Linked DNA regions of Oreochromis niloticus. The protein of the gene in region 2 purifies or fractionates together with the protein of the main gene of each other region. This does not show direct contact. Links are inferred from orthologs where the notes say so. Each region holds a gene or a part of one and is shown on either strand. Other genes may lie near its edges.

What was found.
Region 1: the proteins of eya4 (region 2) and dctpp1 purify together in Homo sapiens (affinity purification with mass spectrometry; 3 studies listed by BioGRID and IntAct, with this or other methods). This does not show direct contact. The link is inferred for Oreochromis niloticus from reciprocal best matches to the Homo sapiens genes EYA4 and DCTPP1.

Annotation. Positions count from the first base shown.
Region 1 is NC_031971.2:15,530,104-15,536,531, forward strand, and holds dctpp1 (glutamyl-tRNA(Gln) amidotransferase subunit B, mitochondrial), read right to left. Parts: upstream 1,838-6,428; 5' UTR 1,770-1,837; coding exon 1,284-1,769; 3' UTR 572-1,283; downstream 1-571. Other genes in the region: gatb (glutamyl-tRNA(Gln) amidotransferase subunit B, mitochondrial), read left to right, coding at 2,003-2,148. UniProt on the Homo sapiens protein: Hydrolyzes deoxynucleoside triphosphates (dNTPs) to the corresponding nucleoside monophosphates. Has a strong preference for dCTP and its analogs including 5-iodo-dCTP and 5-methyl-dCTP for which it may even have a higher efficiency.
Region 2 is NC_031980.2:8,190,021-8,197,321, forward strand, and holds the start of eya4 (protein phosphatase EYA4), read left to right. Parts: upstream 1-4,142; 5' UTR 4,143-4,505; intron 4,506-7,301. UniProt on the Homo sapiens protein: Tyrosine phosphatase that specifically dephosphorylates 'Tyr-142' of histone H2AX (H2AXY142ph). 'Tyr-142' phosphorylation of histone H2AX plays a central role in DNA repair and acts as a mark that distinguishes between apoptotic and repair responses to genotoxic stress.

The DNA.
Region 1 (6,428 bases), on a different chromosome or scaffold from region 2:
TGTCATAATTGATGGAAGTATGAACGCAGAAAAGTATCATAGGATTTTGATTTACTATGTGATACACCTGGAAAGTATCTGATAGGCAACAGCTTCATTTTTTAGTATAAAAATGATCCCAAACAATGTCAGTGCAGCAAAAGCATATTTGGATAGAAAAACACACATATCACATGGAAAGGTCTTACCAGAACCCAGGCCTCAACATTATTGAAGCAGTGTAGGATCATCTTGACAGAGAACAGAACAAAAGGCAGACCACTTTCAAAGAAGAGCTTTAAATGTCCTTGAAGAAACCTGGAGAACTATTCCTGAAGATTACTTAAAGAAATTACAAGAAAGCTGCCTAAGAGAGTTCAGACTGTGCTGAAAAATAAAGACGATCATAATATGGACATTAAGATTGGCAGAATTATACAAACTGTTTTACAGGATCCTTTTATCCTTACTTCACTTAACCTTTTGTTTGTGAGTGTGGGAAACTTCCACATGATTAGTGTCTTAGAAAGAAGTTTATTTATAAAAAAAAAAAAAAAAAAAAAAAAAGGGAAAAAAAAGGGGAAAAAAAGGATGGATTGTAACTGCACTTTATTACAGCCCAAATAAAAACGTCCTGGTTTATGGACGTAACTTGGCTTTTCATGAATAATAAGACATTATTGAATCTGCGATGTTTCATAAATTGTCAAAAAAAAAAAAAAAAAAAAAAAAAAAAAAAAACTGAACAAAGTGGACACCAAGATTAGCTGGCATGCGATTGAAATCAAAACATCAATTAAGATACCTGCTTAATCAACTGCAGGTTGGTTAACAGATTACTAATCCAGTTTTATCCTTTAAAAGAAAATGTGATAAAAACATCCAAATTTGAAGAATATACTGATACATTTGGATGGAAAAAAGAGACAAGACTGTCAGTCTGGCACTGATCAACACTCCACTCCGTGGTGACACTGGAGCCAATCTAAATAACTTAAAATGTTTAGTGACAAATAAACCCCCGAAAGGCGATGCGCAACAGTCCCACCTTAAACTAACCGAGGCACAGTGAAGGTCAGACTAAAACTCAGGACTTAAAAGTGAACTTCAGTGAAAGCCAACATATTCCTTTAGTTCGGACAACTCCCAGATAACACAACAGTTGAAGGTTTTCGTGGTTTCCTAACATGTAAACCCAGAAAATGTCATTTAAACCGAGCTGTGATTGTGCAGCGTTTGTGGGTCTTTGTTAAACAGCAGCAGTTCCAGCAAACACACTACTCCCGTGCTCTCCTCCTCCTCCATCAGTCTTTATACTCTGTGTACTTCTTGGCCGACCCCTGCACTTTGCTGGCGGGGTATTTCAGACGGTTTAGAGCCATTTTACGGAGCACCGCTTGCGGGAGGTCCACGCGACACTTCTCGGCCAGTTCCACGAGGTAGATCAACACGTCGCTGAGCTCGTGCGCCAGCTGCTCCCGCTCTGTCTCGGTCCAGTCCGGCAGGCCCTTGGCTACCTCCCCCTTCCACTGGAAGAGCTCTGCCACCTCGCCCACTTCCCCGACCATGGCCAGGAGAAGGTTGCGGGGCTGGTGAAACTGGTTCCAGTCCCGCTCGTCCGTAAAATCGGCCTGCATGCGCCGAATATCCTCGATGGAGGGCTCGGAGCTGAAGGTGAACCTCTGCGGCCGCTTCGACTGCGGCGACGCCTCTGCGCCATCTCCGTTTACCGCAGCTGTGTGCGCCTCTTCTTTGACCCCACACGCGTCTTTTCCGTTTGTTGCCATCATTTTCTGTGTGTTTAAACAACCTCCGAGGTTTGTAAACAACCCGCAGCTTTCCTATCCAGTGAAGAAGTCCCGCCAGTTCTCAAAGCGGAAATGATGCCTCTTTAGTCGGAAGCTGGAAAATACACAATGCTGGGGCTTGTAGTTTTAAACCACAGCTAGCGGCGAAGTAGCGTACTAACTGCTACTTCAAATAAAACTACAATTCCCGTGTTTGTCAGAGCAGCGACACCAACATGGCTGCCTCCTGTGTTGCAGCAAGTGAGCTGCTCAATAATATAAAACAAATATCAGTCTTGTGTCCAAAGGCTTCGTACGCAGTTAGGGCCGTGAGCACCTCAAGCCCACAGTGCCACGCTCAACTCCCGCAGAGGGCACGAAGGTAAGAAAGGGTGGTGGGTTATTGTGTATGCGTGTGTTTATCGTCTCTGACCTGCAGGTTAACCTGCATGTTGCCTTGGTGTTGAGCTGTAATAATACTTCTCTAGGGTCTTCTTATTAACAGCAGCCGGGTGAGAAAAGTCTTCTCAGCCTTCACTTGTCTTGTCACTCGCAGCCTTCACTTGTCAGCCTGGTAAAAAACACTGCAGACAAAAGAACATTACTGCGTATGCGACATGATTCACGATTTCATCAACAAAATACGCCCTGAACATTATGCATTCATGTGGTCGAACAGCTTAATATGCGCTTATTAGTCTTTTAAACGACATTTGGAGTATAAGCTTTATCTTGTGGCTCGGTTAAAAACTGTTAGCAGAGGATGGTTTCGATCCATCGACCTCTGGGTTATGGGCCCAGCACGCTTCCGCTGCGCCACTCTGCTGTGTGGTTTTGAAGGTGATACAAATAGAAGGCAGGTCTAGTGGCTGAGCTAACGGTGCAAAGATTTTCTTAGGGCTTGACCTAAGATAGATAAGGAATAGTAGAGGAGAGAAAATGGATGAAAATCAGTAGACGCAAGATAGAACATCTGTGCATGCAAGAGAGGTACAGCAGGTGCAACAGTAAAGCTGCAGGAAGCAGAGGTAAAGAAGTTGGGGTCAACCAAAGCAAAGGACAACGCTCAAGAGAGGTGAAGAAAAAAGTGCAGGCAGGGTGGAGGAGTAGAGATGAGTGTCAGGAAGGGATTTATGACACAAGGATAGCAGCAAGATTGAAGGGAAGGTTTACGAGATGGTAGTGGGATGTATGATGTATGGTTTGGAGACGGTATCATTGACAAAAAGACAGGAGGCCGAGCTGGAGGTGTTTAGATTTCCTTTGTGAGTGACCAGAACGGACTGGATTAGAAATGAGTTCAGTTCAAGTTTTACCATTTTGGAGACAAAGTTTGAGAGTCGAGGCCGAGGTGGTTTAGATATGTACAGAGTGACCGAGATAGTGGATACAATGGACAAAGGATGTTAAAGATGGAGCTGCCAGGCACGACCACGGAGAAGATTCATGGAGGTAGTGAAGGAGGACATGCTGAGGGTTGTTGTGACCAAGGAAGGTGTTAGCGAAAGGGTGAGGTGGAGGCAGATCCAGTGTTGTGACCCCTAAAGAACAAATGTGTTAAAAAGTTAAAAAACTACCATCATAGTTTCAGTTTAAGTATGGTTATGTACCAGATTTTTACTACTCCCTGGAGACTCAACCGGTTGCCTTGGATCAAATAAAATGTCGTGTTACTTTTATTCTACTTAAATAGTTCCCTTTCATGTGGCTTTATGCTTCTAGCCCAATTTAAAATTAGTTTTTTTTTCTCTTTACTCTCTTTCATGTAAAAGCTATAGAGCAGCTAAGAAAAAAAACATACATTGTGTGTCTATATTAGATAAAGGATGTTGAATATGAGACTACAGAGAAAATTCATGCGTGTAATGAAGGAGGACATTTAGAGACCTGGTGATACCAGGGGGTGCCTTTTGCTAAGCATAGGCGATGTTGTCTTTATCAGTTTTATTTAGCTTTTCAAAGGGTTAAAGCAACAGTACAGACAGCAGTCTGTGTGCTTTTGTCCATAGAGATACTCGAAGAGACAAGTGATCCATCTGCCAATGTGAAAGATTACACGGAGACAGAGTAAGACAATATGGAGCCTTTCATTCAGGACGCTCACCAAGCCTCTTACATCTGTGGCAGAAATCATGTTACTGTCGTGGAGTGTATCATACATCAAATGCAGGCTGTGTCTGACTAACAGGATGCCACGAGTTAAACAGATTAATGCAGACAGACATTTTAAGCTTTTCATCTCTGAGGAGTGCTTTAGGATTGCGTGCATGTTTCAGCTGAGAGAAACTACACAATATCAGTCCACTATGTACCAGTCACACTCCTTTAGGATATTAAATCAAGGCTACAACATAATGCAATTTCCATAACTACTGTATAGGGTTTTTACTTTGCAGTATAAGCACCTTAAGGCAATTGTGGTTGTGGTTTGGCACTATATAAGTAAAACTGAGGGCAGCGCCTCACAGCAAGAAGGTCCTGAGTTCAATTCCACCATCAGGCCAGGGTCTTTCTGTGTGGAGTTAAGATAAGATAAGATAAAACTTTATTAATCCCTCGGGTGGGTTCCTCTGGGAAATTCGGTTTCCAAAAAGCACAGCACCGACAGAAGTTACAGAGCGTGAGCATAATATTATATATTTATACACATATATAAATACAGAGACATATATAAATAAAATATACGAAGGGGATAAATAGAATAAATAGAAATAAGAATACAAGTGAATTGCACATTTCAAGTATTGAAGTCTATTGCACCGTTGACTATTAACAAAAAGTATTGCACAAAAAGTATTGCACAGTGAAGTGAAGAGGCACTACAGCTTAGTTGTTCCCCCCTCCTTTGTCCTCCTGTTTCCCCTCCCTCTCCCCTCCAGAGAGGAGTTAAACAGTCTGATGGCGTGTGGGACAAAGGAGTTTTTAAGTCTGTTGGTTCTTGTCTTTGGGAGAAGCAACCTGTCACTGAACAGACTCTTCTGGCTGTTTATGGCCGTGTGCAGAGGATGCCCAGCATTGTCCATAATGTCCAGCAGTTTTTTTTAGTGTCCTTCTCTCTGCCACTGACACCAGAGTGTCCAGCTTTGTGCCGACCACAGAGCTAGCCTTCCTGATCAGTTTTTCCAGCCTGGATGAGTCCTTCTTTGCTGTGCTGCTCCCCCAGCACACTACAGCATAGAAAAGTACTCCAGCAACCACTGACTGGTAAAACATCCTCAGGAGCTTCCTGCAGATGTTAAAAGACCTCAGCCTCCTGAGGAAGTACAGTCGGCTTTGGGCTTTTTTATACAGGTGCTCTGTGTTGCATGACCAGTCCAGTTTGTTGTCCACCCACAGCCCGAGGTACTTGTACTTGTTGACCACCTCCACCTCCTCCCCCTCTATCTGAACCGGCAGTGGACCTTCTCTGGACCTCCCGAAGTCCACAACCAGTTCCTTAGTCTTTGAGATGTTGAGTTGCAGGTGGTTTGTGTGACTCTATGCGACAAAGTTCGTCACCAGACTTCTGTACTCCTCTTCCTGATTATCCCAGATACACCCCATGATGGCTGTGTCATCTGCAAACTTCTGAATATGGCATAATTCAGAGTTGTAGCAGAAGTCAGAGGTGTACAGGGTGAAGAGAAGAGGGGACAGCACAGTTCCCTGTGGTGGTCCTGTGCTGCTGACCACAGTGTCAGACATGATGTCCTTCAGCCTGACGTACTGTGGTCTGTCAGTGAGGTAGTCGGAGATCCAAGCGACCAGGCAGGGGTCCACCTCCATCCTGTTCAGTTTTTCCTGGAGCATACAGGGCCGGATGGTATTAAAGGCACTGGAAAAGTCAAGAGTTTGCATGTTCTCCCCGTGTTTGCGTGGGTTCTCCGGCTTCCTCCCACAGTTCAAAGACATGCACTTAGTGGGGATAGGTTAATTGAAAAATCTAAAATGCCCATAGGTGTGAATGCAGGAGTGAATGTGAGTGCGAATGGTTGTCTGTCCCTGTGTGTTAGCCCTGTGACAGACTGGCGACCTGTCCAGGGCGTACCCCACCTCTCACCCTATGACAGCTGGGATAGACTCCAGCACCCCCCGTGACCCTGAAAAGGATAAGCGGAAGCGAATGGATGGATAAGTAAAACTGAATTGAATTGAATTGAACATCAAATTGCCACCTGAGTAGAACATCTGTTGTGGCGCAGACATCGAGCTTTCCTACTAGTTTTTCTCAGTGATCACAGATACAAACGAAAAGAATTGCAGCCACCATTACAAAGAAGATTATTATTTACTCTCTCTGTTAGGATTATATTTCATTCAGATGATTGATAAAAAATCCTCAGTGCCTGAAAGTGAGCTTAACTTTCATATCGTCAGGACACCATGACAGTACCAAGAAACTGTAAGTGGGACCAGAAGTGGAAATACTAACTTTTCAAAAGCAAACCCAGAAACTGAACAGCTGTTTTGACTCGTGCTGTGCCGTTCATTCATCTTTGAGTCTGTTATGGCATGTTTCAAGTTTTTATTAATGAACTGAGAAAGTGTAGTTTCATAAAGTTGTGTCATTTGCAGCTGACCCACATTTGTTCCTGTGGGCCACATTGTAGGTCAGAATAAAGTTTTTAGGGCTTAAGTTAAGTTATAGTCTCCAAGCCCAGCTTCTGGCTAATTTGCCAACAG
Region 2 (7,301 bases):
ATCATTGCAGGGTAGAGACTCAACAAAAATAAAGAGAAAACTTTTTAGATGACCAAAAATGAATAAACACTTGGCGACAGTGGGAAAGAAAAACTCCTTTTTAAGAGGAAGAAACATCAGATAAAACAAGACCAGGGAGGAACAACTTGCAATGACCAGTTGGGGAGGAGGGGGAAAAAAGAGCAGAAAAAGATGTGAGAAAAGACTTGACTCACATTAAGAAGGTGAATTTCATAGCCATAAATATTCTTAAGATAAATGTGTCAGATAAATGTTTCTCATACAATTCTTCTTAACAAATGATCAAAATTACTAAAATATGACCAGTAATACATTTCAAGCATTTGTGGCAGATGGCTGCCGCTCCCTGAGTCTGGTTTCTTCCTGTTTAAAGGAGGTTTTTCCTTCCCACTGTTGCCAATTGCTTGCTCATAGGAGGTGGTCTACTTGTTGGGGTTTCTCTCTATTATGGTAGGGTCTTTACCTTTACCTTACAATATAAAGCGCCTTGGCATGACTGTTTTTATGATTTGGCTAAATAAATAAAACTGAATTGAATTGAATAGTTTACGTCCTGCATCTGAGTGTAAATTGTGACTGCACAGTTTATGATGTATATAAAGGCTAGTGGGTAAGATGAAACACAATTTTATTTCTACATTGTGGCTCATTTTGGATAACATCTTTCAAAAACTAAAGGACTACACCTATGGTTGCAGCAACCAAACATCACCAAGTAGACCAATGTTATCCTTACTACGCCTGTGCCCCTCCTCTTCCTCTCTGCTCAGTGTGTGTTTTTGTCACTGTGACACACAAATTGGGGGCAGAGGATGAGCAGAGGACAGGCAGGTACACATGCATCAGCTCTGAAACAGAGCAGGAAAAAAAAGCTGCTCAGCCTCAGCTTGCAATGTGGCTCCTTAGGCCTGCTACATATGAAACTTTCACTATCTGAATGCAAATTGTTATTTTTTAATGATTAACTAAGTTAAAACAAAACAAAAAGAAATTTTGAGGAGCAATGTAACCAGAGGAGCAGCTCTGCAGCAGGGCATTACATGAATTTACGACGTGTGAAATGTTTCCTTTGTTCCTCCCTGTGGCAGCTTGCTCCGGGCAATTAGAGAAGGCAGTGACCTGAAGTGAGCTCGTTACCCCCACAACCTATCATCAGCCCACATAATTTTTGTTCAGTATGATATGATTGACTGGAAATCTTTTCATATGCTCTTTTTCAGCTCTTGCAGTAACACGGGGTTAGTGGTAACATGCAAGTAGCTTTTGCCTTCTGCATTTCCAGCTTAAATAGCTGTTAGAAGTGTAATTTATCATCATGTTTTCCCAGTATTGTGGTAAAATCTTACACCAAGCCGTGGCACCTTGCCAAAGTCTAAATTGCTCCACACTTCTTCTTTTTTTTCTGGGCACTCGGCCCCTGAAATAAACTCCATTTGCCATTCCATTTTGCAAACCAATTTGAGATGTAGGGTGGGGGCAGGAAAGGGAGAGGTATAGGTTAGCTGTAGTAATAACCATAAATCACCTCTGAAATGCGGCCATGTCACATGCCACACTGCACCACTAATGACCGGACCCATCTTTCACCGGGTATTTTTATCTGTGTGCCCTGACACTCGACTTCTGGAATCGTCCTCTCGTTTTACGTCGTCAGCACCTCGGCCAGGACTGAGCACAAGTTCCTCACATATCTATAAATACCAGCCAGCTAAATGGCATTTTCTCTCAACCCACCCCCTGCTTGGCAAGAACCGGGAGCTCTGTGACTTGGCACACAGGCTCACAGTCCTACGCCACGAAACATCTTGGGGCTTAGCCCCCCCGCACCCCACCCCAGCGTCACCCTCCAGAGAACAGCTGGCCAAAAAAATAGATCCATCTGCCACTGCCTTCAAATTCCAAAGTGGTCTCAGTTTAATTGAAAAAGCGTCAATCGGGCTTCACAAAATCGTGTAAAACATGACAAATATTGGCACACTGGGTCTGCTTTAGGCCGCCTGTTGGATTAACTCGTTAGACTGCTGATGTAGCTGAAGCATTAACATACTGTACGTCAGCGCATGTCGGCTCATACGCTCAGGCAGACTCACACACACCGAGAGGAACACACAAACACCTGTACATGCTTCCTTTGTGCAGAATGTTCTGCCAAGTTTTTTAAGCTTGCTGACATGCGGCACTAGAGACTGCAGTTCAGCAACAGCTTCTTGCTATTCTGGGATGTGTCACAGCACGAGGTTTTAATTCATTCTGCCAGAATGTGTCAATCACTTAGCAGCGGGGTCCAGGCCTGGGTTCTGCTGCTGGACTGAGAAGCAGGAAGGCACAACAGGCTAGGCCTTATTAAAGGAGTCAAACAAGGATTCAACTAAACTGTGCTATTCATAGACTTTCTTCAGAGGTGGGGTGTTAGAGGGGATGAGCGGGTAGCACAGGTGAAACAGACTGACACATACACAACAACAAGTTGGCTGTTTACATAGTTTAAACTAGGTGACAAATAAGAAAATGAGACTGATATTTCCAAGTCTTTATATTAAAAGAGAGTGGGGGTACTAGTCACAGAGCACGGTGTTTCACCTCCTTTCAAGATAACACTCTAAGTCTATTTTATAAGCCTTTTTTTTAAATTGCTGTGTATTTGAGAGTAAATGCAACTACAGCTTTCTCTTTCTTCTACCGTCAGGGTACCATTTGCCATGCAAGTTCCTGTACACAAGCCATGCCAAGGGTTTGAATTTGACCCGCCCAATGCGGTGCCAAAACACACATATCAGTCATCATGCGATGTCATGCCAGCTACAAATGGCATCAAATGACTTTGCACTACTTATCCTGTCCAATTCCATGTGATAAATGATGAAAAAGTTGAATTGTGCAGCAGTGTGACTTTGGAAGATGACAGACCTCATTTCTGTGCCCTGTCATTTGGTGATCACTGTAAAAAATGAACATCGTGAAAGCGGCTATGAAACTTAATGTGAGATACCTTCTGAGGGTGATTAATGTCTTTCTGTTCTTACCCACAAACATAAAGACTTCCATTAGAAGTTATAGTTTTGGTAAAGGGCTGCTCCCACTTTCCTGCCTTTGCTTTAGGGCGACTTTGACTTTTTGTCTCTGGGATTGCCAGTTAAACTGCCAGCCAGTCCAACGAGGAACATTTTTTTGTTTTTTAGTGTTTGTGCAAAGCATTTGAAACCACGGAAACTTTGGCTCTTTTCATCTTACATAATATTACCAAGAAAACTTTGCACATAAACAAAGATTGTGTGTTTGTGAGTGGGTGTATGCGAGGGATAGTAAAAGAAAGTAGTGCAAAGCATGTTTCCCTTTCTTGTATCTGTGTGTGTGTGAGTGGGAGTCTGTGTGGGCATGCGTGTGTGAACATTAACAGGATCTCTAAAGCAACAATCAGCGATCAGTCAGAGTGGTCGCTGACATCACGATCTTAAATAAATGACAGCATGGTAAAAGAGCGCTGATCCGAAGCCAGCGGGGCCCAACAGTCGGAGAATCCATAAGCCATAACAAACAATATTTCAAATAAACAGAACCCATGGCCAAGCCTGTCATCTTTCTGGGGCGTCTCCAAAACAGTCCTGTCTGACTTTACTCTCATGCTGTTTTCTGTTTGTTTTTTCGTTACATCTCCAGCGTGTTTTCTGGCATGCTTGTCCTCTGTCCGATCCCCTGCCTGTAACTGTATACAGATTAACCACCACATTTTCCCTCTGTGTGTTTGCATAAGTTTGCATTTTTGCCTTTCATGTTTACTTATGTACTGTGTATTTTTAAAAAGCTCACTTTCTAGGGATGTTGTTTTTTTGCTATACAAATACAGTAAAAGGTATATATATATATATATATATGTATTTGATATACAAGTTTTTTCTGAATCCTTTATAATACTGGATTAATGAACTAATTGGAAACCAGATAGACAGATTCATAGATGTTTTTGCTCCAGTGGGATATATAAAACTGTGAGCACATCATTTGGGCCAAACTATTAATAAGAAATCATTTTGGTCCCCTCCACCCCACCCCACTCTGAACCCCATTACTTCTTTGGACTCTTGCCCGGTAGTATCCGCATGGCAGCTGGACGCATGCGCAGGAGCAATCTTCATCAGCAATGTCCCATGCCTCTGAACAGCCTGGTGCTCAAACTTGGACGCGGACTGAAAATAATGTTGTTTCCCGCGGGGGCGAGCGTTCCGGTCACCGAAAGCGAGCCTCGGGACTCGTGTTTGAGTTTGTAAAATTGTTTTAAGGACTCCGAATAACTCATCGGCTTGTTTTTGGACTCTTGCTGATAATGGTAAGCAGTAGCTGAGTGTTTTGATCCCGGTCAGTGACAGCCTGCAGACGGCAGGGAGAGCTGTGCGGCGATCACGCTGTACTTGATTATGAGCGCTCGCAAGAAGTGAAGAGAATCTGGGAGCTGATTTCTTGCTGGGACGACAATACTTTTAACACAGGTATGTTTAAACTAGTTTGTGTTTTTCCCAGACGGCTGTGGCTTTATTATTAGACACTTAAATTGTAGGTCAGGTGGCAGAAGCGAGAAAACTGTCATGGTTTTGTTGAGTTTGATTAATTCCGATTTCAAAACATTTATATATATAAAAAAATCTGTAAAATGTATCAGTAACAATTAAAGGAATTATCCTCCATCAAAGAGTGACAGACTCCAGTTTTCTATAATATTATTACTAATATAAGTCTTTACTTTACCTTATTGTTGTTGTAAGGCCAGTGCATGCCCGTTAATAACAGTGATGTGTTAAGTGTGTGTCCATTTTTCTCAGACTTCATCCCAGCCCCGGAATCTCGGCTCACCGATAGATTACCTGATATTATACAAGTGGACAAAAAATAATATTAATAAAGATTTAGTGGTTGCTGTAATTTTTTGCTGAAACATGGCGAAATGACGTCAGATCCTTCCTTGTAAAATTGAATAGTTGTGCAAAAGGTTTTTCGTATTAAAAAGAAAAGAATGATAAAATTACAGTGATTATTTTTTTGTCATACATCAATCTTTAACTGCAGGTCAGTGCGGTCCATCCTTTTTTCCCCTCTCAGTTTGTGGACACATGAAGGAGTTTAGTCCCCTTGGTGTCCCCTCAGTTCTCAGTCTCCATCCCTCCGCGTGTCCACGGCTTTTTCTCTCCATCTCGCCTCTCATCCCACGTGGAGTTTGTGTTTATATTTGATATGTAGGAAATGGGAATCTTATACCACTGCCGGGCTCTCAGGGCTTGAATGGCCCCTGGCTATTGGCCTGCCTCTAACAACATGACAAGTTACACGCCGACTCAAAATCTGATAGGGGCCTACTGCTCCGTAATCCATACAGATTAGATTTCACATTAAGGGCTCATACTTAAACAACGTGCATTAATGCGCAAGATTTAGAGTGTGGAGAATTTCTGGAAAATTGTAAACTACTGCACTGGCCTTCTATCTCATTTTACATTACGGCTCGGTTATTCTAAGGCTGATAATCTCACCAGAAATGTGAAATATTTAGAATTAAATATTTTAATGCAGCCAAAGGGGATTTGTGGGTGTTGGCGTTTGCTAGTATATTTAAATTTTTTCAATGTGTTTTGTTTTTTTTGTAATTATTGTTAATTTGTTTATTTGTTAATTAGAGGCCATTTTAAGGCATTAAATAATCCCGTATATATATACTGTATTTCACACGTCACATTTGTTTCTATTTATTCATTATATTTGTCCTCTAGTGGGAGAACTCTAAGAGTATCCGTTTCATTATCTGGAAACTGTTTTAGGAGTAGAACCCTGTCCCGAAACGGGGAGGGCTGCAAAACACACTGTTTTATCCCTTTTAAAATGACCAGAATAAAGAACAGCATCGCACTCTTACATTTTCTAAGTCTTTTTTTGTACTTAAAAAAAAATAACTCTTATATGTATATCGTATTGTTTATAGAAATGTTGCGTTAGGCCTAAACCTGCCTAGCAGAAAAGATTTTATTATCTTCATGTCAGGTAATGTGCGGTTCATCTTTATTTTATTTTTATTAATTAATTTATTAATTTATTTTTTAACTTTTTAGGTTAAAAACAAATGTAAATATTGACCATTTAAACGTCAGAGGCCTTAGGGATTTTTTTTTTTTTATGTAAACAGTTTAAATTTTGCACAGACTAATCCTTAACTGGTAATCTTGGAAACTGCTCGTGTCATTTAAAGATCGATAGCTGCATATAAGCGATTGCTAAGACAGCGAGGTTAAAGTCGAATTTAACATGTGACTTTTCACTGCAGTCCCTCCGACCAGCAGCAGTCTGCGGTTTGTTCAACATTCTCCTTCCTTCGGCTTTTATAGCGTGAAATTACCGCAGTGTAGCTATTTGGTCCACTTTCTAACCCTCCGCCGTCCCATATGTGTTTCTTATGTCGCTGTCAATAGCCATAGTGAGAAATATAATTCTCTCTTCTGGGACGCCGAAGGAAATGGCAGGCACTATTGATTCCCTGTTTAGTGTCAGGTAACTGCTGGGTGGGTTTTAGGGCCGTGCAGGACAGCTGGGGCAGATAGACAGCATCATTTAATAAGAATTAGTCTGACATTTAAAAAAAAAAGAAAAAAAAAAGCAACATCCCCTTTTAATCAGCAAAACTCCCTTTAGGTCAGCTGCTGCATATTTGTGCTATAGTTTAACAAAATAAAAAAATAAATAAAAAAGGAAAACTAAGACAAATGCTCCATTACAAGCATGAAGTAAACTTTGCTCTTTGTGGGTTTACTGCCCATCACGTTTCCGCTAAAGAAGAATAAATCATGAAGGGAAGGGTGAAACCCAGCCAGATCGAATAGAAGGCTGATTATGTCCTCCACAAAGGTGAGAGAGAGGAGGAGAGGGCGGGAGGGAGAGAGAGGGTGAGGGTGGGGGTTGAGGGAAGCAGGGAGGCTTGGGCACAAATCAATTCACCTGAGAGACGCATTATTGTCTTCGGTTTCAGGCTAGGAGGAGCTGAGCGCTATGAAAAATTAAAAGGATGCCAGTTAGTTTAAAGGATCGAGCCAGAAAACTCCACAGTACACACACACGCAAACACACTCGGCAACAAAATGCTGCTCAGATAGAGGAACAACTTGGAGTGCCCCAATTTTATGCTCATACCTGTCCATATTTTAGGAAAACCATTTTAGACCCTGATCAGTCTTTGTGATAAAAGTAAACAAATCCCTTGTATCTGTCTTTTAGAAAGAGCAACACACTTGTATGCACATTGTATT